2 linked regions of the Oryzias latipes genome follow. The protein of the gene in region 2 purifies or fractionates together with the protein of the main gene of each other region. This does not show direct contact. Links are inferred from orthologs where the notes say so. Each region holds a gene or a part of one and is shown on either strand. Other genes may lie near its edges.

The links.
Region 1: the proteins of ncapd3 (region 2) and smc4 purify together in Homo sapiens (co-immunoprecipitation; 3 studies listed by BioGRID and IntAct, with this or other methods). This does not show direct contact. The link is inferred for Oryzias latipes from reciprocal best matches to the Homo sapiens genes NCAPD3 and SMC4.

What each region holds. Positions count from the first base shown.
Region 1 is NC_019871.2:13,484,794-13,501,486, reverse strand, and holds the start of smc4 (structural maintenance of chromosomes protein 4), read right to left. Parts: upstream 10,108-16,693; 5' UTR 10,064-10,107; intron 9,986-10,063; 5' UTR 9,929-9,985; intron 8,785-9,928; 5' UTR 8,775-8,784; coding exon 8,633-8,774; intron 8,612-8,632; exon of another isoform or gene 8,449-8,611; coding exon of another isoform or gene 8,379-8,448; intron 7,703-8,378; coding exon 7,512-7,702; intron 6,187-7,511; coding exon 5,995-6,186; intron 5,041-5,994; coding exon 4,864-5,040; intron 4,357-4,863; exon of another isoform or gene 4,254-4,356; intron 2,997-4,253; coding exon 2,832-2,996; intron 2,466-2,831; coding exon 2,338-2,465; intron 2,251-2,337; coding exon 2,110-2,250; intron 1,835-2,109; coding exon 1,684-1,834; intron 88-1,683; coding exon 1-87. Other genes in the region: ift80 (intraflagellar transport protein 80 homolog), read left to right, coding at 10,969-11,005, 11,410-11,631, 13,822-13,932, 14,057-14,125. UniProt on the Homo sapiens protein: Central component of the condensin complex, a complex required for conversion of interphase chromatin into mitotic-like condense chromosomes.
Region 2 is NC_019873.2:3,920,255-3,936,273, reverse strand, and holds part of ncapd3 (condensin-2 complex subunit D3), read right to left. Parts: intron 15,962-16,019; coding exon 15,874-15,961; intron 14,495-15,873; coding exon 14,361-14,494; intron 13,019-14,360; coding exon 12,946-13,018; intron 12,871-12,945; coding exon 12,745-12,870; intron 12,010-12,744; coding exon 11,757-12,009; intron 10,606-11,756; coding exon 10,567-10,605; intron 9,852-10,566; coding exon 9,768-9,851; intron 9,676-9,767; coding exon 9,599-9,675; intron 9,302-9,598; coding exon 9,167-9,301; intron 8,308-9,166; coding exon 8,087-8,307; intron 6,445-8,086; coding exon 6,253-6,444; intron 6,143-6,252; coding exon 6,045-6,142; intron 5,965-6,044; coding exon 5,855-5,964; intron 5,047-5,854; coding exon 4,939-5,046; intron 1,859-4,938; coding exon 1,744-1,858; intron 1,537-1,743; coding exon 1,441-1,536; intron 1,359-1,440; coding exon 1,120-1,358; intron 1-1,119.

The sequences.
Region 1 (16,693 bases), on a different chromosome or scaffold from region 2:
TTTCTGTTTCTCCAGGTCTTCCTTGCGGGCTGTTGCCTCAGAGATGGCCTTCTCACTGCTGCTTGGTATACTTTGTACTTCTTCCAACTACACAATATAAGACAGAAAATGTGTTTAAGTTTAAAACTGAAAAACACAAAACCATTCACAACATTGATGCTAGATGTGTGAAGAACTTTCTTTCAGTCTGCAGAGAAAATGTCGTATTTCAGGGGAGTTGGGTCAAATAATTACAAATGTCTAGTGGTACAAAAAAAACTCAGAAGATAAAGTATCTTAAAATGTAAGATACAATTTTGGCTGTAACTGAAAACTGAAAAATAAATAAAAAATGGATTAGAACCCCAAAGTAAACCAGCTCTCTAAAGTCTTCAGATGTAAAGCTTTGGCTAATACTGTTCTGTCTTATAAAGAAAAACAAATAGTATAATCTCTGAATTTGTGAGGTTAAATTTGGGTGAAATGTGAACATGGAAGGTTTACAGAGAACAGCCATAGTTGACTATCACAGATCCACACAGACCTGCACCCTGCTCTCCTTTTGTCCTCCATAGTTTTTCAGAACAGACTCCAGTGTGGAAAGAACACTTTAAACACTTTAAACACACCAGCAGAGCATCTGCACATTTGACAGAATCTAAACTAACAGAGCCTTTTTATCAAAACTTAAAAAGAAAAAAAGAAAGTATATCAGTCCTTGTTCTATCTATGAAGGAGCAGTAAAACACTTCATGCATGCAGTGAAACATGTCCGGTAATTGAGCAGCGTTCCTTTACAGCCCCCTAGTGGCTGGAACAGAACAACTAGGCCGTCCTGACATCAGTTTCAGTCTTACAAAAAGGTTTGGTTTTTCCTCATATGGGCATCCTTAGAACAATTTCAGACTAGTCGTCAACATAAACAAGGGAACATGAAAATACATGTATATTTAAGATGGCCAATACTTGAGCTGCTGCCATTAGCCATTCAGACACAGGGTCTTAAAAATCATTTCATAATTCAAATCCTTTTTTCATTTTTTATTTACTTATAACCATTAAACAGAATGGCACTCCTGTTATAAGAAAGATTTTTTTATTGATATTTGGAGCCAGTGAAACATTACAAACGTCTACCGTAAGAAGCAAACATTTTTTCTAAATGCCAAATTATCTTTCTTTTACAACTATGTTTGTGGTTGTAAACAGAACATTCCTCATGTTGTTGGGATTAATAAAGTTATAACTAATCTTATCCTTCAGATGGATCCAGGCAGATTTTTCTTTAAATGTTTTTGAAAATTAACAAACAACCAACCAAAAAAATATAGAAGAGGGAGCAATCCTGTGAAATTTAGATAAATAAAAGTCAAACAGAGTTCAAATTTGGATCTATAAATATGAAAGAAAGAAAAAAAAAATAGAATTCCAACACACTTTCCTCCATTTTAATATCAAAATAATGTGGATATAACACCACTGTATAGGACCAGAGGTTTTTTGTATTTATAAAAGCAAAACTGGAAATAAAGGTGAGGGAAAACTTGAGAGAAATCTTTCCTTCTAGATCACATGTCTATGCCCATGTGACATCATCAGCATGACATGATTTATCTACTGCAGGATAGCAAAGACCAACACTGGGTTAAAAGAAGCAATTGAACTGGAGAGTATTTTTGGAATACAACATAAAGGCCAACACACCTTCTTCTGTTCTTTTTCCAGCTGCTTCTGCAGTGTCTTCTTCTTGTTCTTGGAGTGTTTGATCTTCTCACGCACTTCAACGTCCTGCAGGTCCAGCTGGGTGAACTGCTCTTTCTGCGCCTCGATGTACTTGTTGATTTTATTTTGTTTTCTGGAAGAGGAGAGACGTTTTTCATGGGGGAACTGCACTTTGTTTACAGAGATTACTTGAGTTATGAATGAGTTACTATGAAATCCTGAAAGTGTCACAAAAAATAATTTAAATATTTTCTCTTTATCTTTTAGAAAAAGCAAATTTGAGTACATGATTGTTTTATTTTTAAACATGCTCTGCCAGTTAAAGAAATGTCTTTCAGTCAATAAATAATTAAACTACAGCATCTAAAAAAAAAGAACATGATAGAATAAACAGGAAGAAAAACTTACTTCTCTACATTTTTTAGCTCTTCGTTCATTTTCTCCATTTCTTGCGATATCTTTGCATTTTTTTCTGTGAGCTCTTTAGTTTCCTCCAGGATCTTCTGCTTCTCCTGCTCTTTATCCACCACACGCTGCTGCAGGTCGTGGCTTGAAGGAAAGTAAGCAGGTAAATAAATAAATCAAAACTCCAGAGGTCAAACAGATAACAGGAGACACTTCTGCTGGTCCACCTACACATAATACTGGTAGAGCTGACTCTTGTGTTTGAAGATGTCATTCTCCAGTTTCAGGAACTCCACAGCTTTGTTCTTCTCTCCCTCCAAAGCATTTTTCTCCTTTTCCACTAACTTTACTCTGTTTAGCTGGGAGAGTGAAAAAAAAAAGCAACATTTCTACATCACTGTGTCTTTAGATGGTCGGGAACAGGAAAAGATGGTTGAATTTATTGATAAAATTCCATGAACATTTATTCAAATGACTATAAACATTGACAAACTGTATATATAAGATTTATTAGCAAGACAAATGCCAATTGCTCGCAATCTAGAAAAGCCCATCACTGTACAGCTTTTAACCGTCATCCTAAAAATATCCCAAATGCACAAAATAAAATATGAAAACAGTCCCGAGACACAAATTCTTTCATAAAAAAGGATTTAAATAACTTCATGTTCAGACACAACAAAAACAAACATTGGTTTTCTCAATTGTGAAAGATGTTGAGTTACCTTTTCTCCTCTCTGTTCATTGAGGAGCTCAATGCGGCGAGCCAGAACCTGGATGGGCTTCTTGAGACGACAAGAACCGATGATGTCCTCTAGATACTCCAGCATGCCTTCATCGTGCTCCGTCTGACCTTTGGGCTTCATCATTGCAATCTGCTCCACCTCACCCTGTGTACAGTCCAGACAAGCTTATTGGCAAGGGCGGAACTACAGAACTGACTCACAGAGAAAAGAAATACTAAGTTATTCTAACTTTCGGTCGTTTCTTGTTTTAAATATATTTATCCTTTGCCTCAATTATGAGGCAAATATTCTGAATTGTAACTGGTGTTGCATTGATATCCCAAAGCAACACCACACAGAAAAAAACCCCAGAACAAACTACAAAATTCATTTTTTCCACTCAGGAAAGGGAAGAAAAATAAATAAATAAATTTAGAGTGATGGAAAAATAATATTGGAAGAATTAAATATATACTTATGATGCTTACCTGTCCAAAATGTATTCAAAAACCTGCACTCATCACACACACACACACATATTCAAAAGCCATTGTTCTTGTGAAAAAAAAGCCGTTTTGCTATATTTCTGAAACAATTTTTTGTAGCAGTAAACATGTTTCAGTTCCTTTAACTACAGTGGAACGTATTTTCTTTTACTTAAATTAATCTAATAAAGTCAAAGTTTGATGGTAAATGAACAATTCTGATTTCACACAGATTTTACGAAACTACTTTAAGTAATCTGGCAAACAATTCAAAAACAACAAGAGAAAACATCTAGTTCAATTCAAACACTCATCACTGACCTGATTTTTGTCATATAACACACTTGCTTAACCCAGGGTTGATTTATATGCAGGGTAAAAAGTAGATCAGACATTACTGTATGTTGATGAAACAAATAAGCTCAAGGAAGAAGGGAGATCTAACCCCACATCCTTCTGTCCTGATTGGAGCACAAATGACACCGCTTCCCCTTTTGCTAAAGGTCTGGAAAAGTGACCTTGAAGCCAAGCTCAAGACTCTTCCCATAGTCATGGAGCCATGCCAAAAACAGGGTTGTGTAAGGAGAAGGAATATAGACGGGCAGATTTAGAGGAAAAAAGAAAAAACACAACACTTTTTATTAAAAAAAAAAAAAAAAGATGTGAAATAATTGATTATAAAGTGAGATTACATTTTTTTCTTGGAAAAGTTTTTCAATATTTTATTTTTTATTTTATGGTAGGTAAAAAATACAATTAAATGAAAAAGAAAATTAAAATATTAAGAAGAAAATTATGACAGGTGAGACGATTTAAACTTGGTTACCGTAAATCTTTTTAACCAAGAATAATGTAGGACCATAGTATACCATGAATTACAGTAATAGAACAAAACGTGAACCAAGACAGATAGTTAAAGTCCTGGCAACAGAGGATGTTTGATCCCGTCACACTGAAGCAGCACTGCTAATATTGGGGTTGGGGGCTTTTTTCACACGCCAATATTTACGTGCTGCTACAGCGTAGCAGGTATATTGAAAAAGGAAGGGTCCACCTCATCGCCATTAGTGGATCCACAAAAATAAAAAAATTAAAATAAAAAAAATATTAAAAATATAAAAAAACTCTGTTAAGCTAGCAAATAGTTTAGCAACTGACATTCAGGTTTATGTGGGAGAATTTCAATTTTTTGCATTTTTTCCTTAAAATTCTAAAGCAGCAAATAATGGTTCGCACTTTTTTCTGACTGTTTCAAACCATGATGCGCTGCTACAGCATTCTAAGGTCTTGCAGAGGGCAACCCCTCCCCAGTTCTTTTCTATGACACCACAGCATATTCCATGACATTTCCAGACATGGCCTACAGGTACATGAGAAACATTTAAGCAAAAAAGAACCTGAGAATTGCACTAAAAAAAATAAAAAAATAATAATAAAAAAAGATAAATGACAGAATGGCATGATTATTCAAAAAAAAATAAAGTTTTTTGGACTTGCAGGATAAGAGGAAAAAAGGAAAGAATACAAGAAAAACACTAAATAATTACCTGTAAAATCAGAAACCTGTTGTGGTCGAGGTCAATACCGTGACTTCGTAGTAATGCCCCCACTTCTTTAAATGTGGCTTTCTTGCCATTGATATGGTAGGCTGAGGAACCGTCTTTGTTGGCAGTCCTGGAAACGTAGAATTTGCTGTTGGGGATGACTTCGTAGTCATCTCCTTCCTGGCTCGGGGGGGGGGGAGGGGCAGAAGACACAGCAGCTTAGAACAGAACAGTTCAGGAGAGGCTGAAACAGCCCAACACGTCAAACTGTTCCAACACTGACAGATTCACTTATTAACAAGGCCTACATAGAAAAACACACACATAAAATATTGTTTATGAGAATGCACTACATCTATAAAGGCAAAGGATAAGATAAAACACTAAATGTGTATTGGAGTGTATTGCATCGTAAGCTTCCTAAACTTGTAACTACAAAAGATAAACGGATTGGGTAAAAATGTTTAGTTGAAAGAAGAAAAAAGGCTATTTATTTAAGGCCGTGTGCACATCGCTGAAAGAAAAAACCCTGTAGTTTTAAGGAATGATTGTAAATACAAAACTGACAGATTTCTCAGTTTGTGCCAATTTTAAGACAAATCAATGTTTATTAAAAAATACACAACATTTTAGCTTCAGCAGTGTGATCAAATTCACAGTCCCTATGGCTAATTTAATTTATAAAAAATTTTCTAATTGGGGGGAAAATGTAGCTCACAGTTGGTGGTTACAGCAGCCTGTTATTACATCCTACCTAAAGCAAACACTACTGCTTTTTTTTTTTTTTTGCCACCATGAAAAAAAGCAGAGGCAATAAATGCATTTGTTTATCTCTTTCCCTTCATTGCCATCAGATCAATTTTAGGGCAAAATGACTCAAATGTGGCACGTGTGGGAGTTCCAGTAACTTTCACAACTGATTTAAGTTTACACTTGGTCACTAGAAGAAGAATTGAGCAGCAATATTACTGCATTAGAAACGACAAAGAACAAATACATTTTAAAAATTCATTTTTGCCCAACTAAAATATTTCTGGTGATTTTTTTTTTGTTTGTTTGAACAACAAACTGATCATTTTAGTGAAGTTTGTATTTGTGTGTAAAAAAAAAAAGTGTTTATAAATATCTGTATACCTTATCAATGATCTTTTGAAAATGCACCTCCACAGTACAGCTTTGCACATCTTTGTGTTTATCAGAGCTGTGAATCAACACTGAAAGCTTTTTTGATCTTATCTTTTGAGCTCTGTATCCAAACACAAAGAGCATGGAGTCTATCACATTAGACTTGCCGCTTCCATTTGGACCAATGATGCAGGAAAAGCGCTGGGAAGAAATTAGGAGACAAAAATAAATAAATAAAAATGAATGCATCATCCATATGAAACATACAAGAGATTAAGATTCAACAACAGCTGTCAGTAACAGCGATGACACCACACACAAGTCTAATATAGATTTAAACACTTAAATTTAGCAATATGAAACTTGCATGGACATGAGGCGACTGAAAAAGATTTTTTTTAAAGAAAAAAACATTTAAAAAGTTTCATTAAATGTGATTACACCAGTAGATTTTCAGAAACTGAGAGAAACACTAAATCAAAATGGAGGAGTGTGACTTCTTCCTCTTTTTTTAAGGATTTTTCTCTCTAAACATTTTTACTAATAATCTTATTTTTTTATAGATTTCAATAAGACACATTTATTAGAAAGGTGACCTAAGATTTCAGACAAGAAAAAAAATAGTATCAAATGAATAAGACTTGGATAGTAACAGTTACACTAAATCAGTGACGTGCAGTCAGGAGAGGCAGGTGAGGCTGTGCCTCACCTGTCATGGGAAGAAAAGAGAAAAAATAAATTCAACTATTATATTTAATCAGTAATTTGTGCTTTGCAGTCATTTTCCATTTAAATGTACCAATTTTGGGTGTTTTTTCTTTTCAAAATCGCTGAATTTCCGCATTTGCCGTTCAGATACTAAGAAGTGACGTGCGATGAGGCACCAGCCCGCTGAGCCTCACCTTGGATTGCGCAATACCTATGCAGTCAGACGGTACTGCTGTCTCTCTGTATGTCGGTTCAATCACTTGTACTGTATGAGCTGAGTTTGCATAATTTAGCAGATGTATATGATGTACAGTGTTTGTTTTTATAAATAACTGTATGTGAGGGACGTGTTTCTTGTGCTGAGCGCTAAACGCCGGCGAAAAAGCCGCTGGGTGAGGCCAGAAGTTCCCGTGCCTCACGTTAGGGGGCGCCGGTGAGCCTTGAGATTATGACGCTAAAAAAATAATAGAATAAGTGATAGCAAGCGGCAAGTCATTTTCTTCCGAAAGAGCGGCGTATGGACTTTAGTTACAAGTAAAGGTAAGACGATAATAATGTTTGTGCTTTTTTCTATGCTGCGTTTTGTATATGAAAAAAAACATGTTGAAATGATATTTTAAACAAAACACCTTAACTGTTGTCAATCAAATGGAGAATAAATTAATCAGTATGGTTCATATGTTTGTAAATCTGACTGATGACGTCAGTGCCTCACCAGCCATTAACCTCACCGCACGTCACTGCACTAAATGTAATCTAAGTACATAGTTAAATATATTCAGGACACATGGTAGATTAGAATCAAGTTTTGGTCGTACCTTGTGAAAAGGCCCCAGAATCTGCTCGCCTGCGTACGACTTAAAGTTGCGGTTCACTAAATGTGTTATCATCAGGCGGGGAGCGCCCGGCTCATTGGTCATTGCTGGGGGCGGGGGTGGAGGGATGCTACCGAGAATCTCCTCCAAACTTCGATTATCGACCGCCTCGGCAGCCTCCCCTTCTGCCGAATCTGTGGCACAGAAAAGGGCACTTTTCAGTTTTTCTGTGCGAATCGCTTCAGGTGGGGAGTGGGGGGGGGGGGGGGGTAATAGGGACGGGACAGTGGCCCATGGGGGAGGGGTGGGGGGAGAACAAAAACAAACAAACAAAAACACAGTCGGCAAGTCGCACAGACAGACAAGCGACTCCGGGGAAAGTTGACAGGCGTCGTTTTTTTCCCCCTTTGTTCAGAAAGCAAGAGTCAAGCCTCGGATCGGACATGAACGAGCACACATCAGTGCTCACAAACGCAGTCTCTCTCCGGTTTGATGCGCCACGGACACCTCCAGGATAAATGAAGTGCGTTTATATCAGCGACGTCGTTACTACACCCAGCTAAATGAAATACAGACAGGAAAAACTTTTCTGCATGAAGATCTACAACGATCTTCAAGAATCGGTTCAAAATCTTTTGTGTTCTCATATATACAAAAGAATTGACGGTGTTTCAAAAATAAAGTATAGCAGCTAGACATTTAGCGGAAAAAAAATTATTAAACAGATTCATGTACCAATGAACTTCAACAATTGCATCTTGAGAGCAGCACACGCGCTGTTCAAAAAAAAAAAAAAAAAGTTGCAGGCATGATGAATACAAATCCCGTTTTTACGTCACAACAAAAACACACCATTTCGAAGCAAATTACCTCGTTTGCCGTCAAGATCGGGCGAAGAAATGCATTCGACGATATGAAAATCATCCTGGAGTGATTTCATTTCTATGTTGCACTTTAGAAAACGTCTCAGCCATCCCAGCTACTCTTTTCAATTTAAGATAGAGGAGGGGAAGGAGCTTTACAGCTGTGCCAGTTGGCCTCTAGCAATACTGCAATACACGCAGAGCCATTGACTGAACAACTTATTTAGATTCACAGACACCAAAACAGCCTTTGTTACTTGCCAGTTGTCGGTGGTGCCTCCTCTTGGCCATTGGAGTTAGTTTCTTGAGGGGGTACATCCAGATCACCCTCAGACACATCCTGCGACCCTTTTCCTCTTGGCTTGGTAGAGGCGGTTGAGCTCTTTGCGGTTTTGGATGGCATGATTTGAAATCTAAAGGGGTCATTGGTAAAAAAATAAAAAAATAAATGGGGGGGGGGGGGGGGACACATGAGTGGTTTTTGTGTCTGTCAATCTCTCAACTCCACTTTACGGTCAGTCACACACAACTAATGTGTCAGGAGTTTGCCATTACCAGTCAAATCTTACTGCCGCCCTTCCTAATAATATACCATTGTGTTTATTATTTGTTTTTTCCTTCCAAAAGTTTAAATAGTTGCTAAAAACAAAAACATGGAAAAGTGTGTTACAGCGATTTTTATTCATCTTAACACTACTAGGATCAAAAAAAGGTTAGCTTTTAAAACAAATCCCCGTAAAAAAATGTTACAAACTAGCCAACTACAAAACTTTGGAAAAATGCTTTTTGGCCTTAACCGTTAACGTTTAACGGTGGGTAACAACGAAAAGGAAAATAAAGTTTACGTCACCCATTTGAAAAAAAAAAAAAGAAAGAAAGAAAAAGAGGGAGAGAAATTCGTGTCGAGCCTTGAATTGCTAGTTTTCTATGATGACCACTACTGAAAGCGCAGCTCAACAGATAACAGTCGAACTTGCAAACTAGCTTTCAGTCCCTGAATTCTAATGTTCAGGGCGGAATGATAATTTGAAGTTGGCCATCTAACGCGATTTGTTAATGTATTCGAATAACTAACCAAACCTACAGTACATGCAGCATGATTTAAGAATGTTTTCGTAATCGTTTTGTTACCGGATGACTATGTCGCATTAAAAGTTACTACGATTTTTTTTCCCTCGGCTAATAGTTAGGTTAGCAGGGGGGAGGGGGGGTGCTAACTAATCATTATGTCAAACTTAGCATCACAGAGCAGACCGACATATTACCACCTTTAACTGGTATAGGTTGTAATAAACATATAAACAGTAATGCTATAGGGGCTTAAGTTAAGAATCCATTATTGTTGCAATTATTAAAAAACGCTAAAAAAAAGTCAATAAGTAGTAGTAACACTATCAATGTCCTGCCAATGCTATATTTTTTCCTTTTACTTTATTTTAAAACATAGTTGGATTTGTGGCTTACTTAAAGGTTTGTCTCAATTTCAACGACCGCTATGAATTTCAGCAAATAGACGGAACCCAGTAAATATTTTTTTTCTATTTTTTCTTCATGTACCTTCCACAAATGAAAAAAAAGTCCTTCGCTGATTTTCTGTTTCGATCCAGTCCAAACCTTTCAAGAAGAATAGGTTAATCCAAGGTCTAGCAAAAAATACACTAAAATAGTCCACAAAATCGTGTGCCGTATCACCCGGAGCCGCTTCCTTTCTCGAAAAACTTGTCTTGTAAATGGCGCCTAAACTGCGCCGTCGAACCAAATTCGTTATAAACTCTCGCAAAGCATCATGGACCTTTCAAATGGTAGTGTGAAAAAAACACAAAATTCAAAAAAGGGGACGAAGCCAACTCCGCCTCGCTCCACCAGTGATAAGAAAGGCGCAACAGTAACAAAGCGATAAATGACAATTTCATAAAAAGACATCACTTACGATTTTCATTTTTTGAGTAAGGATATCTTTTAAGAAAAGAGTTGTGTTTTCAGTACTGTCGAATCATTCGGTTACTGTAAAATAAAGTCCCGCCCCATGGAAACGTTTATATTATTTTTTGGAAGTGACCGAGATCATCAACACATTATTCAGTAATAACGCAAGCCTACTTTAAAGATCATTTTCTGAATGAATTTGTATTAGTCACTCAAAAAGTAAACCCTCTATAAGTACACGCTGAGGTTGCAAATTGTTACAACTCTCGCGATGACTTGGCTGTCAACCGTTCACTCATCCGAGATTTCATGGCTAAAAAGTTAGCTTCCATACGTCATGAAAACAAAACGCTTCTTCATCAACGCTGCTTGACCTGGTTCATTTGTATCGAATATTCGAACTATATCAAATGACTTTCACACATTGATAAGAGGCACATAAAAGAAGTGCGGTCATCAGAATGCCCCCCGTGCGATTTTAAAAGGTAATGATTTTAGTTAGTTAGCTACAGTGGCTGCCTGGTAACATAGCAACTAGACGCTTGTTTGGTGTTGGTGCATTTTCTCTCTTTGTTGGATTTTCCTCTAATGTTAAGCTTGACTTAAGAGTTGATTCAAAACTGACATACGTGTGTTTTGTTTGTTTAGGATTCAACAGAGAGACAAGAACAATGAGACTAAAAACTACGCTGCAGAAGGAACCAAAACATATCCTTTAATTGCATCGTGATCCCTCTTGTTTTATAACTTATTGCCTTTGATTTGAGCTGAATGGCAAAATATTTTGAAAACTGTGACATTTCACGTTCCCGTTTTAATAGTATTATTGCTGTTCTTCAATTTAAGATTGTTTTTAAATTATTTTCTGTCCTACATTTCTGCAAACTAAAATAAATTTCTGCTGATAAGAACCACTGCAGCAATGATAAACCTTGTCATTTGCATTTTCTACTGAAAAAAATGAAGACAAAACAAAACAAACAAAAAATAAAATAAATAAAGGGGTTGGGGGCAGGTTCTCCAGATTCTAGGTATCTATGTAGAAAACATGCAATCAGCTGAATTTGTAATATTTGTCCTTTTTTTTATTATTTTTCTTAACACCAGCTCACATAAGGATCTTGTAAGTTGTTTAGGTTGGACCACAGCCGATGAGCTGTACTCATGCAGTGATGATCATCAGATCCTCAAGTGGAACCTGGTGAACAATGAAACCAATGTGGTCGTCAAGCTGTCAGAGGACATCTACCCCCTGGACATGCACTGGTTCCCCAAAACTGTTGGTGGGAAGAGACAAACCCAAGCTGAAATCTTTGTCCTCACCAGCACTGATGGCAAGTATTTTATAAAACCCACTCTGCATCTTAAAAAGCAAATGAACAGTATGTCCATATCAAGTTGTGAAAGACTCAATCAGCCGTTTTTAAATATATTTATTTATTTTACAAAATACTGCAGGATAGTAAAAAGTTTTAAGTAACCAGCCATGCTGTGACTCTTTTTTTTAAACTTCAATCCATGAAAATAAAATGCATTTTTATCTGATATTAAACTTGGACTTCACTGCATAAAAATTCCATTTGCCGTTTCGCAATGTGCCAGATGCGTTTCAATGATGATTGGCCAAAACCAAAAAATGTTTTTTTTCAGTGCCCATGCTTTTATGACGAAACTGCATGTTGATTAGAATTATGTTCCTGAAAGATGCAAGACTTTTTATGCTAAAGAAGTTTTGTGGGTAGAAGAAAAAGTTGCTCTGCCTGAAATATAATTTTTTTAGAGACGTGAACTTTTTTTTTTTGCAGAAATCTCTGCTGCTTCCATCATTATGGATGTTGAATTTGAATTCGTCAGGTGTAAATAATAATTTGTCTACACGAAAAAATGTTGCTTTTGAAACCCAAACTGCTGTGAACAGTTTTCCCTTTTCATTTTTTGACAGCATATGTTCCTATATATCGGTTTTTACATTTGTTCCTTCATGAATCATACCTGTTCTGTAATTCGACCAATGAACCCAAAGATCCCGGGCATCTAGCAATCATTATCTTATTTTTATCTTTTTTACAGAAATGATTTTGTGTTTGCTGGATGATGAGATATTCAAATACTTAATAACTTTATTGCAAGGATATTCTGAAATTCAGATTGTTTTTAATCCCAGTTCTACTGGTTCGTGAGCCCTGCCTCTCCTAGATGCTCTTTTTGTTAGATCATTCATTCATTCATTCATTCATTCATTCATTCATTCATTCATTCATTCATTCATTCATTCATTCATTCACTCACTCATTCATCTTCTAAATCTGCTTTGTCCCTTTCTGGGTCATGTGGCTGCTGGAGCCTATCCTGGCCACTCGTGGGCCAAGACAGGGGACATCCTGGACAGGTTGTCGTAGGGCTTTGTTAGATTATGTCCCTAAAAATGTTACCAACTATATAATTAGTAGCAGTCAGTTGTCTTCTTACCAACAGTTTTCCTCAGGAACCCCATAGAAGTCATTTATTTCAACATTTCAACTTTTATAAAGATGTGAGAATCCGCAGTTGCACTCATTACTTAATAAATTGTTTCCAGCGCAACTAGTGCAAAAATTAGTGTAGTGTCATTCATGATGCAACATAGATGTTTTGATGTTGCCTACTTTGAGCAAATGATAGTAATTTTCATACTTTTTGGGTAAATACACAATGGTTAATTTCTGTATTCCTTAGTTTGAGGATACCATACTGTTTCATTTGCCTTTGGATGACTTGGTTTGTCACTAAAGGCAACAATCCAGACAGTGCCAAGGTGTGTCATGCATGTTACGGTAGATATGAACACATAAGAGCATGATTGGACTGCTGTGGTAGGCAATATGTGGTCACAACTCTAATGGCAGTGTTGAATTGCAAAACGGATGCAGCAATTTACTTTGGCATGCCAGAGACTCGTTGCGATTCCCTTTTGCAACTTTCTTTCTCTTGCTTTCTTTAGTATAGTTTACACAAGCTAGACAAATAGCTGTTGCCATAAATACTACATGAAATATGAGAAGGGAAATGCATGACAATCATTTTTTGAACTACTGTGAGCCCTGACACATTTAGCAAAAGGATCAGTCTGTTATTGATCTTTAGCATTTTCTCAAATATCTATAAGAAACGTTTTCATGCTACAGTCCTGCAGCCCTGGTTACATATCTGGAATTTTCAATTTAATTCATTTGAAGTATTTTTAAAGTAAAGATTTTCTTTATTCATCTATTAATTGCAAGTAACTATTTTGGATCTGCAGTTTTTCCTTTTTTCTTTTTCAAATGTGTGCTTTTAAAACATTGTTTTGACAAATGTATGTTGCTCATCTGTTTAATATGTTGACTTAATTCATTTTGTTCTCCCATTTAAAGATGTATTGGTGCAACACTGCATTAATCAGTTTTGGACAGAGTCATTAGATCGTACTCGTCTGCATCAGGGCAAACGTGGACTGAAGAATAGTGTCACAATAAAGTCAACTCTTTTTTTTGGTTGTTTTTAAGGAAAGTTCCACCTGGTTTCCAAGATGGGGCGCATTGAGAAGAGTGTTGACGCTCACAAAGGTGCAGTCTTAGCAGGAAGATGGAACTACGATGGAACTGCTCTTGTTACAGGTTTGGATGTCGCTAACGCATACACAGCTGCAGTATAATAAATATTTGGTCAATTTTAGACAAAGAAACATATTCAATACACATTAATATTTTTTAAAGTAATGCTGCTTTCTATGGTTCTTAGCTGGAGAAGATGGGCTAATCAAGATCTGGTCAAAAGTTGGGATGCTGCGCTCAACTTTAGCCAACCAAGGTAAGGCTAATTGTTTTGTCTTAGTTTTACAGCCTATTATCCACTTAATTTTATGCACTTTGCAGAATTAAACTCGAAATACAGCTCTTAGATCATGTAAAAACAACTAAAATGCTGAAGAACTGCCTAAAAGTCAGCTCGTCTTTCTTATCCCACATTTTCTTGGACTTCCCTCATACTTGAAATCTGACCGTTTCTTTTAGCTGACCTTTTATACAGGTTTCTTTTTATTTTTGTTCCTTTTGCTTGATCAACCTATGAAAGATCAAATAGAAAAGACAACAAACTCAAGACATAACTAAGTGTTGTGTCTGCAAAATCCCAGCCATTTAAAATCTTGTGAAGATGACCAGTTGCAAAAGCTGATTGTTCATAAAAAGCAAAATGTCACCCAGAAACTTGGAGAACTTTTTTACCATACCACCTGAAGAGATCGCAGTTAGGTATATCTTATTAGAATGACAGTAGAAAACATTTTGGATGTTTAAAGACCCACTCCCATGAAATATGTGTTTTTGGTGTTTTTAACATGTTCTTTAGGCATTTTTCTCATGATGGAGGCCACATATAAAGAAACCTAAGCTTAAAATTGTACTTTAGAGTGTTTCTTTATTCAAACAGTTGTGAATCAAGAGCAGATGAAAAAATGCAGTTTCAAAGAGAGCGTATTTGTGATGTAGAAAATAAGCTGGGCGATCCATTTTGATCCCTCCACTTGCAGACAGATAGATTCATGTACGTCTTTGTTTTCCTCATCCGAGCTGGCATCAAAACTGTACGGCTGGACAGCTCCCATATTGCTCGCCATTTTTGTTACACGGATAATGTCAGGTTAAGGTTGTCAAGGGCTGTAAGATAGTGGGAGAGTGTAAACAGATGGATGAACTCTGCACCAACGGTCCCGCTGAAAGCCTAGAGTTGAATTTCTAATGATCCGCTGCCTCTTCGATAAAACTGTGCCCCAGAAAACATTTGTGGTTTTGTGATTTTGGCTAAAAACTGCAATTAAAAGACCACTGGGAACACTTTTAAAATAGATCAAAAGATGATCAGAGTTGGACTTTAAAACATTTAACTGAAATTTAAAAGCCGAGTCATTATGTTTCACAATTAATTATTGTGGAAATAAAAAGAAAAGAAATATCAAGTACAAAAAGTTAATTACAGCACAAGCTGGAAAAGACTGAACCAATATGGCGCATATGTAATGGTTGCCAGAAGAAAGCTTCTTCTCTGTAAAAGGAGCGCTGTATCAAAGCTTGAGTTTGCAAAACTCTCATTTAGACAAATTTGAAGATTTCCGGAACAGCAATACTCATTGCCACATTTGCTGAACGCCACATGAAGCAGGGCAACAGAAAGACATTAATTAACTGTCCAGCACACTGGTGGAAGGATTGGAGGAACCGTGTTTGGGATTGTTTTGCAGCCAAGGGCCCTGAGTTCTTTACTGATTACTCTATGACCTGCTTTGTAGGTCCAAGTATTCTAGAGTCAACTAAGGTGTCAGAAAAATGTGACGCCTGACTTTTGATGTGCCAGAAATACCAACACCTTGCTGAATACCTTGCAAAAGCCTATTTACAAAGTGGCAATTTTCCTTAGGATTTTGCTAATACTAAACTCAATGCAAATACTATATGAAGAAGAAAAAAGGAAGTTTTTTTTTTAAATTTACGGATGCAGATGAAAGATGTGTAGATATTTTAGAGATTCTGTCCACAGCATATGCTGCTGCATACTGTAGTCTACCTGGACAACCATGTCATCAGAACTCCAGAGGTTATATCACAGACACAAACAGCCTTCCTCTGATCCTTATCTACTTTTCTTGGCAAATGAATGCATTGATTTCCATCACTACATATTCTTTCCAGATGTGAACGTGCCCGTCCAGAAAATGCTATTGAGTACACACTTGAATATCCTTTTTTTGGACAATGTCCAAACGTAATTGTCCACACATTTTCCAGAATTTCGGCAGCATGAAAGTGTGAAAGTATCTTTAGAAATAGGGCAAAGCCCGACTTTCTCATTTTATTCCTGTTGGATCTCAAACAATTAGAACTGATAAGGGGTGACTTTTTATGTCTACTTCTTTAGAGAAATTTTGGTACCCCCTGTTCTTTAACATTAATACTCAAATGCACTTTCTTACTAATTTTTTTCCAAAAATATAATGATAGCATTAAAAAAATCCAATTAATGCCTCTACATCAACAACAGAAGTTTGCAGATTGAAACTATTGGTCAAAGAAAAAGACTTTGAAGGGTGTGTGTGCATGTTTTGATCTTACTTTAAGGAGAAAAGGCTTAGTAGGAAAGAACAAAACATGTTTTTTCATCAATTTTATTGTTTTTATTATTAAATGTTGCTTTCTCATTTCTAATGAAATTGTAGTTTTTTTTCTTTCAAAACTTTTTGAAATTGCCCCTCCTCTCTTCTAAACTTGCACACAGGTAATATTTTTGAATTCATCACACATTTGGGTGTTTCTGTTCAATTCAGTTCTTGTTTTTCTCCTATAATCTTAATATAATTTCCATATTAAAAGAAATGTGTTAAAG
Region 2 (16,019 bases):
GACAACTGTATCAGGGTAATAGACACACCTCATTGTGTGTTTTCCACACGTGTTCAGCGTCTGACTTTTTGGGACCCAAACCAAATAATTCTACAAGAAAAACCTTTTCATTATGGCATCAATGTCAACATTGTGTGGGTCTAAAAACGACTCTGAAGTCGGCTCCTTGGTGTGAAAGACAAGAGCTGACTCCTTCCCGGGAGTTTTTTTTTCTATTTCAATTCACCCTTTCTTACTGATTTTTCTCTCTAAGCTGCACACGACTGCATGTCTGGTCAAGTAAGAAGTAGTGAATTCATTTTTCAAATAAGTAATGAGTAAAGTAATTTAATAACTATTTTGATCCAGTTTCTAAAGTAAAGTAATCAATTACTTTTTAGAAGTAATGTATCCAACACTGCCAGGGGGAGTGGTCACTCAGTCCAGTTCTCTTAAACAGTCAATGATCGAGACACAGAACTACTGGCAGGGCTCTAGACTACATTTTTGCACCGGTTGCACAGGTGCGCCTAACTTTAGGTGCACCAGCAGAAAAGATTGGTGCGCCCACCTTCTCTCTCAACCACATTGTATTTAACTCTATTACACTGTCACTTTTAATCGTTGTCAATATCGGCATCAAGAGTTGAAAAGGATCAACTTACAAACTGGTAAACATGAAGAACTTTATGTCAAACAAAGCTCTACAATAATGCCAAATTACATTTAAAATGCTTGTGTTTAAAGACCCACTTTGTGAAGATTGTTTTTTGTATTTTTTTCCTCATAACGGCTGAGCACAGCGGAGTGACCACGCATTTTTATTTTTTATGATCAGACCGCACCCTCAAGAGAAGAGCTGAATGTAGCACCTGTAGAAGAGCGCAGTGCCACAGAACAACATCATGAGTCTAGTGAGGAGCATGTCGCTGTCGAGCTGTCATTGCAGCAAATGGTGGGAATACCCGCCACCGATATGCTCAATGTTTGTTAATTACGGTAGAAAAATTGTGTTTCTTCCCATTCTTAGTAGCATCAAAGGAAACTAACATTTTTCATTGAAATTCAGACCAAACAGGAGAAGCACTCATGTAAATATCAATATCTCTGCGAGTAGCACTGTTTCAAAGGTAACCCCACCTGCAGCAGGTTAGTGAGCATGATCAGAGTCTGCTCCCTGATGACATCTTCATCGTCCCGGAGACAGGCAGAGATGTTAGGTATGTAGTGGTCCACAATGTTGGTGTATCGAACACAGAGATCACACATGACCACCACGATGTTGTTGCGCACAGCAACCTCTTTGCCGACCTCCAGCTCTCTGGCAAACACTGGCAGATACTTGTGCACGAGCTCCTCCTGCTGCAGGCACAGCTTACCTGAACCACACAGACCGCAAACACAACATGAAACATTGGAAACACGAAGAGCAGCATGCAGTTCTTATGAAGAAGACTTTACCTAAAGTTAAGACTCCATGGGCTTTGATTCGGGGGGGTAAAGCGTTGACTTTGAACTGAGACAGAGGCAGTGAAGCTGGCAGATCATCCTGGCAATCTGTTCAAATTCAACAAAATTTAAACCATATATGGGATTTGTTTCCCAATTGTTTTTAGGACCTCTTTGTATAATGGAAAACCCATCTCTTCTTTTAGATTTTTTTTTCCAAAACAGCATTAAGGAATACACAAGAAAACTCCTTCAACACAGCTGGAACATGTGACTTTTAAACTCCACATCTGCTGAGATAAATGCTGCCCTCACCTGTTAGTTTGTTAGAATGTGCTGTCAGCACAGATTCCACCACCAGCACCGTCTTCTTGCTCACTTTAGCCGGACATTGAAGTGATGCCACACCCAGAGTGTGGAGATGCTTTATCTAAAAACAAATAATAAATAAACAAATATTTAAAAAAAAAAAAAAATCACTCATTCTGACAGATTTGTAAAAAGTTCTTTCCCTCCTACTTAAGCTACAAATGTTAAATTCTAAACACATTTTGCTCACATTTGGTCAACTTTACAAAATAAAATGTTTTCCAGAATAAAGACTGAACAGAATACAGAATACACTACAGAGATATCATCAGGTGTGCCATAGGAACTTATTCAACTTCACCCAATTTGGTCAAAAAACATTTACGATAAATCATAAAGTACTTCTTTCTTTTTGCTTATTTGATTTTTTTAAATTCTGATAAGAATAACTGTATATTGTTGATACAGACAACAGAGTCTCATTATATTTCCAGTTTTGGTTGGTTAAGGCCTTGTGATCTTTTTCAAAAAAAAGGGGAACCTTGGCTCACAGAAGGTTGGAAAACACTGGATTAAAAACCCAAACAGCCATAGTCAAGCTGTAATGAGTGAAAAGCAGGATAATTTTACTCTAATGTCTTTTTTCTAACCAGTGGTTCGCTTCATAACCATGTAGCTACTGTAATTGTGTTCTTTAGCTCCCATTAAACATTTTCTCTCACTGACACATTTCCCAAATCTCCGCTATAATCAGAAGATGTCATTCGTAGCTGATCCAGTAGAGTAGATGTCATGCAGGTCAACAGACCCTCTGTGGAAAATGCACATTGGTGGACTCATTTTCATTTTGAATTGCTAATGTTTAAGATTACATGTTCCAACAGACTGAAAATGTGTAAAACCTAGAGCTGGGCGATATGGCCAAAAAATTAAATCTCGGATTTTTTTTTATTCAAAATTCGATTATAATCCATTTTTCCCCTGCTTTTATTTCTTCAAACATTCGAAAGATGTAATATATTTAACATAATTTATTTTATGTTAACTTCTTCTTTATAAATTGGCTCTAATACAAAGTTCAACTAAATCCAAGCTGTAAAAATGTTTGTAGAACAAAGCAGCAGAGAAATACTAGAACGCACTCAGCAGAGCATTTCTGGTAGCAACAACCATGAAAGGGATTTTGCTCTTTGTGGTTTGATGCTCTAAGTTTGAAGTCACAACTCCAGAGACCAAAATCCCATTTTAGACTCACCAGACAAGATGACCAGTAGATAAAAAGCAAATGATTCCATTATTTTACAAAGAAAAACTATAGGTGTTATATTAAAAAATGATATTAGCGATAGAATTTCATTAGCGATAGATATAATTAAGTCTTTTCCAAAGTTTAGGGAGAACGGTACAAAAATAAATAAATAAAAGGTTTCCTCTAAAGAACAGAGACTGGATCTTTTATCAAACCCCTCTGGAGGCTCTGAGGGTCCGAAAGGGGCGTTAACGTGCCCGCGCCTTAACACCTGGTGCGCCCTATGGTCGTGAAAATATGGATACATGGAAAAACTATGGGATAAATTAACAAACCTGATAAAAACTGAAATTTATACACATTTTACTTTAACTTGGAAAAATATCTTATTTGGTTTTGTTAATTATGGTAATACAATTTCATCTCAATTTATTTAATAAATCTTCTGATTTTATTAACCAAGTCTTATATTCACAAAAAGACTAAATTTGGAAATAAAGCTCCCAATTTTGTTGATTTACTAGCCCAAATTAGATTTTATTTACAGTACAGACCAAAAGTTTGGACACACCTTTCCATTCATTTGAATGAGGGGTGTACAAACCTTTGGTCTGTAATGTCATTCCATTTCCCCCAGTACAAAAAAAAGCGATTAAAACGTGTCATTTTGCTCAGCTTGATAATTTAATATTTTTATTTTGTGTTTTTATCCCCCCTGGTGATTTCTCTGAACAATTGATGAACAGTTTTTTGTTCTTTGCTGTATGTGTGTGTGTGGGGGGGGGTTTCTAGCTCAACACCGGCTCTGTAATGTTACAAAGGCACTACTAATAAAGTTCCATACAAAGTGTCTCTTCTTAAATTTATAAAAAAAAGTTTTATAAATGTTTTATGAATGGTTTTTGTTTCATTTATTCTCCACGTCTTAAAGTTCACTCCGTGAAAATATAGTCTGACTTTAAACCGGAGCAGCTCGATAGCATTTAGCATCCTAGCATTAAGCATCGTAGTATCGTAGTCTAACCACACAGCTGTCTGTTGCTGCTGTATTTCAACAGGTTTTTCCTCCAGTTCTTTCTAGATCCTGTTATAAATCATCATGTTCTGCTGCTTCATCAGCTTAAACTGAAGCTACAGGAGGCATCTAGCAGAAGTCTCTAACACTAGTGTTTTCTTTTTCCGCCTCATGGAAGAAGCTCCTCTCTGCTTGCTGCTGTTTCCACATCTGCGCTCTGAGAGAGACCGACGGACTGACTTTACTCCAGACAACGGAAACGCAAGAGAGCAGATAGCTGGGAAACTAAAATCTAGATTTTCCAAAAAAATAAATCGTTTAAAAAAATCCAATTAATCGCCCAGCCCTAGTACAACCCCTCTGACCAGCTGATTACAGAAGGTTAAAAATATGGTTGACGGCAGTCATAGGAAATTCTTTTGGTAGAGCGGTTCTAGAAATTTAACTCTTCAGTGAGTCACTTCAAGTCATATTTAAAAATAATAATTTTTTTAAAGCCATGCACACTTATTTTGACTTGACTGGACCATGGTTGTTAGAGCAAAAGGTGAAGATATCATTTAGCAGGTAGAATAATGGATGCATTGCCTATGCCCTCATAAGGCCATCACCTTTATGCACCTGCAGCCAGGTGTGGTTGTGTCTGCTAAGTGTGTTTGGGAGAAAAGAAGGTGAGGGCAGAGAAACTGTTTTGGAACCACAAATATTTCAGTTAACCCTTTGAGAACTTTTTTGTTCTAGGACGCAAGTCCACAGCAGAGAACGTAGAGACTGATGTATCTTTTAGAAAGAAGCTTTGGATCCCCATGAGAACTTTTGTATCCGAGTGTAATTTGATTCAACAAATAAAAAGAAAAATCATTTTTGGTGAGGGACAAGTGACCACCAACTTGCAATGACAGGAGTGTGGTTGAATAAGAGGGAAAAGCCTGCTCACCATGAGCTCTTCATCAAGGTCCTGGGCTCCATTTTCATTGAGGATGACAGCGGATAAATAAGCTTCACAAATAGACACGAGCTCGCCACAGTGCTGGTTTAGGAAGGCCTGAAGACAAGAAACCCAAAAAGTCCTCAAATGCAAAACGTTTAACAGTTTGACAAAAAACGAAGTAAACATTTTTGATATGAAAGAAATGTTAAACTCCATGAAACTTAAAAAAACAGATAACAGAATATGAGCTTAGAGTGTTGTGATAATGTGAGGATAACATCAAAGACACAGATGGACACAAACACAACTCAGATGAACATAATGCACAACATCCACACACACACACACACACACGAGTCACAACGCAAGGGGGAGACAGATGCCTACCACAACAGACCCACCAAACTAGTGACACAAACACTTGGTAACAACTCAATCTCTCCATGATCTATCTGTCATCTTACTGTGGTTGGGTGGTTGAGAGCCAAAGTGATTCTTGTCAAGAGAATATGTTCTTGTATGATTATGTTTTTGGGCTTGCAGGCAGGGACCTGGTGGCTGTGCCTCCTCCCACAGAACCAGCTAGGCTCGATGCAGAAAAACCACTTCAGAATGCCACTAGAGATTCGGTGTGAATGTGAGTGATTGTGTGACAGACCAGCAACCTATTCAGTACCCCACCTTTGCCCAACAATAACTGGTATGGGCTCCAGCAACCCCGTGTCCCTTACAGGGCTTCATTGGGTTTGAAAAATGAATGGATGATATTTCCTGTCTAGTTGGACTCTGGACTCTCATTTTTAACTTGGACAACAAGCCAAGTATGATGAGAAAGACCCTCACTTTTGGCTACTCGCACTTCTTGTTCGACAAGTAAACAAAAACGAATACATATTTTTTAAAACAAGGTTTCTTTCCAAACCTGGGTCTCTTTGATGTTCTCCTGACAGCCAAGCTGATAAAGAGTCTGCACGGCTGTGCTGATCAACTCAAGAGACAAAGTGAAACTCTTCAACAAAGACATTAGATCCTCTGAAAGAAGAAAAGTGAGGGAGGGTCATCATTCTCCAGCTTCTTCTAGTGAAGTCTATCGCCTTTCCACAATCATTTACCAACTATCCTGTTCTTGGTATCATCATTTAAATGAACTGCAACGTCTCCCATAACAGATAGAATGTGACAGAAGGTTGTCACGTCGACATCTCTTGATCTGCAAGAATATAAAGTAGATTTTTGGGTAATTAAACAAACACAATTGGATCATCAAAAATGACCAGTACCAAAATGTCTGGAAATGATTCAGGTAAAACTCGTGCTCGCCTGATCGATGCGTCCCACGAGTCCAGGATTTTGCCACATGGGACTTTGGGACATGAAGTGGCGACCTTGGAAAGCAGCAGCCAGGCCCCTGCAGCATGATCGGCCTTAAAGTGTGACATCAGGTTTGTGATGAAAGCCGGCGTGAACTTGTTCTGCTTCGACCAAATGGTGAAGGCTCTGCTAAAATAACGGCTGGAACAAAAGAAATGTTACAATTAGTCTCCATCTCCTTTTCTCTGGCAAATAGACTGATGTGATCGTAAAGACACACTCACATTAAATTGAGGTCTATATAGCTTTGCTTTTGGTCAAACCACAGCCCGTTTGCTGTGGTTGATACAGATCATTGAAGGACCCACTCTGCTGTTAATGGGGATTTTAACATATAGGATTTTTCTCATAGTGGAGGACATATGTAAAGAAAATTAAGCTCACAAATGCATTTCTTCATTCACATTGTTCTGAAATAAGGTGTAGATGAAAAAACGTAGTTGTAGAAAGCTTGTGGTTATGGAAAAGCTGCAACCTGCAAGTCACAGTCCCCCTGCTCTGCTCCATTCTGATCATCCACTGTCAGACACATAGATCCATGAACTTCTTTATTTTCCGGGTCTGAGCTGGAATCTGGATCAGAACTGGACGGCTGGATAGATCTGATGTTGACCACCATTTTTGTTGCACTGCTAAAGATAATTGTGAGGTGTGCGGGGGGCTGTAAGCTAGCAGGAGTGTGAGTGTAAACAGAAGGATCATGGGAAATGAAGGCGGGCTCAGTCAACACCAACAGTCCCGCCCACATCTCAAAGGGAACATTTTTGATAAACTCCTACGCTCTGCAAAAACTATGTTATAGAAAATTACAGGTTTTTTTTAATTCCATATAAAAATGAAACAAAAAACCTAAATAAAATAAAATAAAAACAGACTGGGAACAATCTTAAAATGGATCAAAAGATCAGACTGGGGCTTTAAGATGATTCTTTTAAGGCAGCCAGTAAAGTGCCACAGATTTTCCTTTAACCCATAACCTTCATAAAGAAAAAGAAAAAAAATTAATAAAAAGAAATGGGGGGGGGGGGTCTGACTTTTATGATGAGACGGATAAATACATTTAAAAAAATAAATAGGTCACAAAAACAGCCATTTTGTAAAAGTATTAATAAATGTGAATCTACCATTTCAAATACTTTATTAGCAGCTTTCTGGTAACATTAGACATTAATTATTATAATAATAATTATAATAATAATAATTATTATTATCATTAGACATTAATATTATAGTGTGTGGGAACAACGGCTGTAATAAATCCATATTTGGAGGAAAGACTGTTTTTTCTGTTAAATGCAGTTCTCTTATTTTGAAATTAAAGGCTCTTCTTCTGTTTCCTCTTTGCATCTTTTCTGCCAAAAGAAACTTTTCAAATACGTTTGTCTTTGTTAACTTTGCTAGTGGGTTAATATAGCATGATATAGCACCGGAACAGCCACTTTTAGAACGTAATGGTTGTATTTTTTAACGCATGACAGAGCGGCTTGATGTCCGTCAAGATTGTGTCAGATGTGGTGGAGAGAATCCAGCAGCTTTTTAAAATAAAACTTCAAAATCAGATTTTAAATAAAAAGGGTGTAGAATGTTTTCTTTCCCCTCTGCTGCCCGGTCCCAACTGTTCTATGGACCGATTAGGCCCACGGCTCAGGGTTTGGGGACCAATGTTGTAGAGTACTGCCAAGGGAATTAACATGGTGAGATCGACCAGTGGAGCATCACAGTAGTTGTAACTACAGAAAATGGATTTAGCTTAGTAAAAAGACCGGTTCTGGTCAGTTCTTACCTCAGGTTTCTGCATTCATGTGACAACAAGCCTAGCAGATCCCATGTAAGCCTCTGATCTGTGTCCATGTGATGGCCGCCATTGTACAGTTTGACTTGACTAAGCAGCACTTGTTCCAGAGCGTCCAAGGCCTTCTCCTGCACCGAGCTCTCAGAGTCCACCACAGCCGGCAGCACGCCCTGCAGCCATGCCTTCTGGACCGTGCTGCACTCGGCTTTGGCCTGGTAGTGACAGGACATCCAATGGCAACAGGTTTTTATTCCCATTTCCAGAGATGGGCAGTAACAAGTTACATTTATTTGAGTAACTTTTTGAAGATTTTTAATACTCCAACTAGTTTAACTAGTTCAAATGCATATTTTCTATGGAATTATTTGTGTCTCATAATAAGTCAATACCAGAAATGCTTTTTCATTTTCACAATAAAGCTGCATTTGTTGACTTAAAAAATAAAATTAACAATCCTCCAAAATGCTTTTTCCTTTTGTACTCCAACGCCGCTCATTCTGTGACATCGTTAAAGAGAAAAAGCAAAGAGGGGACTGCATTTCCATTTATACATCCCTCGCGCAAAAACTGTTGCATAACTTAATTCCAGTCAGCCTTTCCAGGGGGGAGGCGGGGCGACCTGTCCAGGGTGTATCCCGCCTTCGCCCAACAGTAACCGGCACAGCCTCCAGCTACCCCGCAGACCAGCGGGTAAAGAAAATGGATGGAAGTTCATGACACAAACCCTCGCATTGAGCGGCCACACTGGATTTATTTTTCTACCCTTTGATCGAGTCACTAAAAACGCCACGTGCCCAAACCTTGTCTTGCCAACCTTGCCGCGTCTGACGCCCAAGTCGCGCCGCAGGACCTCAGATCGCGTCCGTACGTTGACTTAACATTGAAATGTGAATGCAGCATTACATGCATACAAATTTTGGATAGTCTATCTCTCTTTACCCATTTTACAAAGAAAATACTAAACAAAGAGGCCATTGGCAGGAGAATTGGATTTTACACAGTTACCGTTTTAATCTGTTATTGTACAAGTTTGAGGGTTTTTAAAGTGGTTTTCTTTTGGGTATCACTCACACTGAGCAGCTCTCCAACACACTGTAAAGCCTTCTTCCTCACAGACACAGCTGGGTCTCTGGTGCGCTCTGACAGAGTCTCCAGATTCTCCCAGGTTGGGGGAATTACACCATGCTTCAGGAGACCTAGCAGGGCCTAAGACCGTAGTCAGAGGAACACATAAGAAGGTCAGTCCAGAAAGGTTCTATAGGGTGAAATGATCACTTCTGGCTGACCAACCCTGGTCATCAAAAACCCAAACCCAGCTGTTTTCTAGCTCTCCCTGCACCGCTTGCTGATGATGATGATGATGACCAGACTGTGGAATCCCTGCAGTCAGCTCAGCAGCAGCTAGCGGAACAGGGAAAGCTGGAAAACAGTCATGGGTGTGGTCTTTGATGACCAGGGTGGACCTTTAGTTTCCTTTATTTCAAAACAAAAACAGTAAAGCACCTGCAGCGCTGCCTTCCTGACATTTGTCTTTGAGTCCTTTACACGGCGAAGAAGAAGAGCCAGGTTTGCCTTTGCCGCTACAAAACATGGAAAGAGTCTTTTATTACAAGATGGTCGACAGAGAGCCACAGGAGTGTTGACGGAGCCTTTGCACGTGCTAGAATCTCACCTTCAGAGCCTGAGCCGTCAACACAGCTGATCTCCACCGTCCTGAAAGGCAGGCTTTTCATGCTGCTCTGCGTGCACGAAGGTACTGCAACACAATCCCATTTGCAGCAACAGTTACTAGAACAGGAGCAACAGCAGCCTGGGCCTTGACATAAAGCTTCACTGAGGTCTTGACATCGGTGCTGCATTTGTTAAAGACCCACTCCAATGAATGGGTGATGTTAACTGCTCACCATTGATATGGTAATTGCCCCAGGATTCCTGCATGTTAGCCTCTCACCTTACCAACCGAGCTACCCAGCCGCTATGATAAACCCAGAGATTAATGACCGATTAAAAAATAAATGAATTAATGGCGTGTTGTATTTTCAAATAGCAACAAGCCTCTCAACTCATCCGAACTAAAAGGAGCTCCGCCTACATGTCGATATTACATCTGCAGTCTTTTTTTTTTTAAATCATCAGACCTGAACACTAATCATTAAATGAGAGTAGTGCGAGGATCCTACATCTATCTATCTATCTATTATAGCTCCTGCTTGATCCTGTTCAGACATGGGAAAACTTGTATTACTTGCCAACTTTTATGTATCATGTGTGATTTAATAGGCTCAGTTTTATTATCTGTTGGCACTTTGCTTTTAAATGAAAACAAATAAACTAGAGGCTTACTTGATTGGAGTACCAAATGTTTTTAGCGATTTGAGATTCTTCAGAGAGTTTTGACTTTTTTTTTTGGCTGTGAAGTGAATTTCAAACAAGCCTCGATGCAACAAAGAAAAAGCAAAAGGAACCCAAACCTCCTGCGAGTTCACTGTCCAGCACCGTCTGAGTCCCAGCTGAAAATAGAAGATAAAAGTCTGCTTTAGTCAATGGATGAAGACAACAAAACAATGATAATGTTATTTAAGTTTGTCCAAGTACTCTGTACAACAAACCACAAACATATGGAAAACCACATGAAAAAAAGCATTGAAAAGGCGCCCAAGTCTGCCTTACAGGTTGAATAGCATTAGGTATAAGATTTTGTAGTGTTGATGAATACTAAACAAACTCCAAATGTTTAAATATCCTTCAATAAATCATTTTATTTAGGGGTGTTGGAAAAAATAGTTTCGCCAATATATCGTAATAACCGTGTTTTACTGTGAAGCACTATGTGATTTTTATTTTGAAAGGAACTGTACAAATAAAGTTTATTATTATTAAAGTTTATTATAATAGTTTATTTGCCCTCTACAACAGTGGTCCCCAACCCCCGGGCCGCGGACCAGTACCGGTCCGTGAGTCATTTGGTACCGGGCCACACAGAAAGAATAAATAACTTGCATTACTGTTACATCAGTCCATGTCATTTTTGACGCATTCCAAGGCGCTATTCTCGGTCACGTGATAAGTATAAGTTACTGGTAAAATAAAACCCAGCAGCTAGTAAAATTAGTAAAAAAACAAACGTCTCTGGAAAGTTTCTTTGCCGAGGGGAAAAGGCCCAGCCAGGAGACGGAAGAGGAGCCTTCCACTTTTAAAAAAGAAAGCTATATTTAATTGACAGTACTTGTTTTTTGCGCCATGAGAGTGTGGGAAAGGGAGAGGATGATGAGACCTGTGCGATGTCAACTGTTAAGCGTGTCAAAATAAAAGCACAGGGCTCGTCTTGTCACGAAACTCACTGCCACGTTGCTGCCAGTATCGTATAAAGCTATCTGGTGGGGGGTTTTTCCCTGTTCAACATCGGGTTACGTATCGTATCGCCAATACACACCCCTAATTTTATTGTCTTACGTCAGTTTCAGGGAACAGTTCAATAAAATTCATGAAAAAATATTTATTATATTCATACTCAATACTTTGCCTCCATTTATTTGAACATTTTTATCTAGATTTAATTCTACGAGGATGAGTCACTGTTAAATTATTTTTGTATTGAAAGCATCAAATGATGTTATTCTAGTTTATGCCCATGGTTATAAGCTTGTAAGTATGCTCTTACTGCCAGAGAAGAGGTTGTGGACGGCCCTGGTGACATTGAGGGAGGGCAGCTCCAAACACTGAGCCAGGCAAGAAAGGGCGTGGCCTTGGACGGTGGGAGAATCATCCATCCTTCGAGCAAACAGCAGATCCTGGATCAAAAACCTCTGTGGCAGAAAGATGGCAAGCTCCGGATCCTGAGATTCCTCCAGCCGCCTCTCTGTCTGCTCCAGCAAAGCCATGACCACGTCCACGGAGAACAGTCGATGGACCATCTGCCGACAGCAGGGCAACAAGTCAGCACTGAGGTTCTAGCGGCAGCTGGTGATGAGACCAGACTAAGAAAAGTCTCACTCCATCATCTTCTGAAGATCATTCCCAGTGGGCTTTGAATTCTGATTATGCCGTTTTTAGCACAAATAAAAAAAAACCTGTGTTTTCTAGGACAGTTACTGCAGTGCAGCAGTAGTTCACAAGAAATTCACCTCCGAGTTTTGGGTGGGACCAATGGCATGGAGAAACTGTACACCCCTTCCCCTCCCCATTGCTGAGAGCTCTCTGTTTACATCAATTCACCAGGGGATGCATCAGAATAGAGAGGAGCTGGGAGCTGTGACCCACTCAGCGTATTTTGTACGTCACAAATATGATATTTTTCATCTGCTCCCGATTCACAACAACTTGATTAAAGAAACACTCAGAAATAGTTCCTGTCAGTCCTAAAATCTTCTGGAAAGGTTTAAATTCTTTTTAAGTGTCAGCCCCCAAAGATCACCTTAAAAATCAGCTGTTTTCCATCTAGTAAAAATAAAAGGCCCCTTTGCAAAAACATATTATGACTATTGAGTTCCAACTGTCAATGTGAAATAGCAGGACACTACATCATGAAGTCTTTCCTGAACTTCATTTAAAATAATAAAACAGTGCTGTAAATACAGAAATGCTAGAGACCAAAGTTTTCCTGCATGGAGCAGAAATATGTCATAATATTTAGCCATTTGTACACTTACCTTTGGTTGTCTGGAGAAATTAAACAGCCATTTAATGAAGCGGCTGTAATCTGCATTTTCCATCTGAGATGTCAGCATTCCCACAGCCTGGGCTCCGTGGCTTCGGTACTCGCTTTTCTCCACCATCTACATGCCGACACAGCAGAATCCTGTGAAAAGAGCTGTTGCCAGCTCAGCTGATCCAACGTCTTCATGACTGACCTGGAAGCAGATGTGCTGCAGCAGAATCTCCAGGAAAGGTTTCGCCAGCTCCCTCTGCTCCTCCACCAAATGACTGGAATCACATTCAACAGTTCAAACGTCAAAGACATCCTGTAGAAATAATAGAAAGGAAGCGCACACACGCTGCTAACTTTGGTGGCGCTGCAAAAGCACACTTCATAGGTTTGTTGATGCCTCTAAATTGTCTGTTGTCTGTGTGTGATGGACTAATAAATGGCCTAAGATGAAGTCCAGCTGCACCTTTCAGGAGATGTGGAAAGGCTCCAGCATCCCTGTGACCCTGAACGGTGCATATAGAAGATGGATGGAAAATACAAAAGAGCTATGAAAACAGGAGAAACAGATAGAGGGAATGGATGCATAGATACGGGTATAAATAAACAGATGAGCATTAGGCTAGCACACTGACTATATGTGAGAACTGGACTGAAACTAGTGTGACGTCACTCATTGAAAATGGTTTACTTCTGGCTCCAACCAAACCAAGTCAATTCATTTGCCATTTCTTGGATGCCACCTCATTGGAACCAGACAACATCCAAGTCGGACTGAGTCCGTGTTCTATGGTGACCACCCTCTCCAATCAGGAGTGAACTTGTTGGAGGGCCACACCCCTACCACGTGAAAGCGGGAGAATCTGTCAACTTACTTTTATTGAAGTATCTGACTGGTCAGTTTATACTCATTCAGACTTGCAAAACAGAAAACAAAAAATCCAAAAATATGCTTAAAAAAAGTATCAGACCAAGAAAGTTAGAATAACCGGAGTAAAAGCAGTTTATTTCTCTATAGAAGTCTATGGGATTTTGGTTTCTTGAAGCCAGCAGGTACTTCCTGTTTGGAATGCTAGGGGGAGGGGGGGGGGGGTCACTCAGTCCAGTTCTCTTATACAGTCAATGGCCTAGAAAGAAAGCGTGAGAGAAGGAAAATAAAACATTGCCAAGGAGGAAGGGAAAAATGCATTCTAGGAGATAAAAATAATGAAGTCAAACTGTGTCTAATAGTTTAGGGTTTCAATTGAGCTGTTGAGTTGATTGTGGTAAAGATCTGGTGTAAAAAATGTTTCACATCTGAAAGAATTTCCTTAAGAAAACTGACGTTTTTTCATTGAGACGCTGCCCTCTAGTGGTCATAGGAATATATTTCAGAATGAAGGTTCAGATTTACAGGACTGTTGCTTGAATGTAAAAAAACAAGAGTATAACTAATGGACATCAGATGACATCACTTTAAATAGATTTATTTTACTCTAACATTTAAGAAACACTTGGTAAATAAAACAATTCCAATACTACTGCAACTATTCCAGGAACCCCATGTCCTACCCACCAGTCACACGCGCACACACCAACCATACTAAAAGCAAAGACAAAGCAAAAATTCAAACCTCTCACCTTACAAACTGAATGGCATAATCCCTGATTGCCAAAACACTCCGACTGAGAACACGGAGGACCGGTTTCCCTCGACTCTCTTTATTCATCATCAGTATGGCATAGAGCAGCTGATGGAAGACGCTGCGCAAAGACTACACAAAGAACATTGTGTTATCATGATCAATCCATGCCCTAAATATGCCACAACTTCCATTTTAACATGAAGTCAGGATACCACAAATTATTTAAATTGCATTCACCAAATTTTGTAAGAATAAAAGGAGAACAAAGGTTAGCATTTTTGGTAGGAAACACAAAAACCCTCATTGCAAACATAAGATTACACATCTGCAGCTCCTCTGATGTTTACTGCATTAAACTGAAACCTTTCTTTCTGTTATGTATCATTTATGATGTACAATTTTGCAACACAAAACCTCGTTTTTTCATTCATTCTCATCAACATCAGACATTACGCCATTTATGATTAACAAATCTTTTTTGCAATGACGTGTCCTCACTAGTGACGTGGTTAATCACCCCTCTTTCCCAAAAAGGTTTTTTGATTTGATTGATTCATTTAAGACCGTTTTCTATGCGAGGCTGAATGCCTGTCTGTGTTAAGTTAGGAAGGAGAGTTTCTGGAAAACATCTGCTTCTGAAAACTTGGCCTCACAGTTTTATCGTAGAAACACAAAACATGCTAAATCCCACTTAACCCTTGTGCTATCTTAGATGACCCCCCCCTTCCATTGACGTGTTCTCCCTACCATGACAAAGGTGGATAAAGGTGGAAAGATTTCATGTAATCCATGGACACCAGTGAAGATCACAAATCATTGAAGAAAAAAGGTTCAGAGCACTGTCTAGTGGGTCTAGATGACCCAACTCCCAATGTTAAAGTGCCTAGGATAGCACAAGGGTTAAGTAGACCAGTGTTTTGTAACCAGTGTGCTGCGGGGGATGGTCAGGTGTACTGTGGGAAATTACTAATATTTTATTTAAAAACCCACACAATGTCAATGCCAGCCCCCCCAGTGAGTTTATAGAATCTGTCTGTTGGAAAAACTGTTGTCAGTTTAAGGACAGCGTTTTCTATTGTTCCAATTTGATTGAACTGTTGTTGGAAACACTGTGAAGAAGATTTTTTTTGTTTTCAGCAGTGACGTTTCTTATTCGTTTGCTGCTGAAGTTAACAGAAAACCTTTTGAGTGCAACATTGTTTAAAGTGGCAAATATTTCTTTTTAAAATCTTTGCCTTTTCATCAGTTATTTTTTAATTCTGATCTCTCCTAAACAAAAAGGTATAAAGCATGACGATTTTTATTTTATTATATCCAATTACAAGACAAGACTGTGACCAAACAATATATTAAATAGTAATAATTGTGGTTTGATTTGTGAATTGATGGTCTTTCTTTAGTAATCGAATCAGATCACCTGTAAGCCTGTAAACTTATCTAAAGAATACAGATATTAAACAGACAGAGCGTTTACAAACTGACCAGAAACAGAGGTAACTGGACCTTACTTCTTTCTGGTCTCCATGTTTTGCTAAGCAGAGCAGCTCAAGCCCATAGAAAGCCATCTCTGGAATGCTCCTCATTTCAGTCATGTCTCTGCACAGGCAAGAAGATCAGGCTGCTTTCATGGATCATTTCTTCCACATATCAGAGA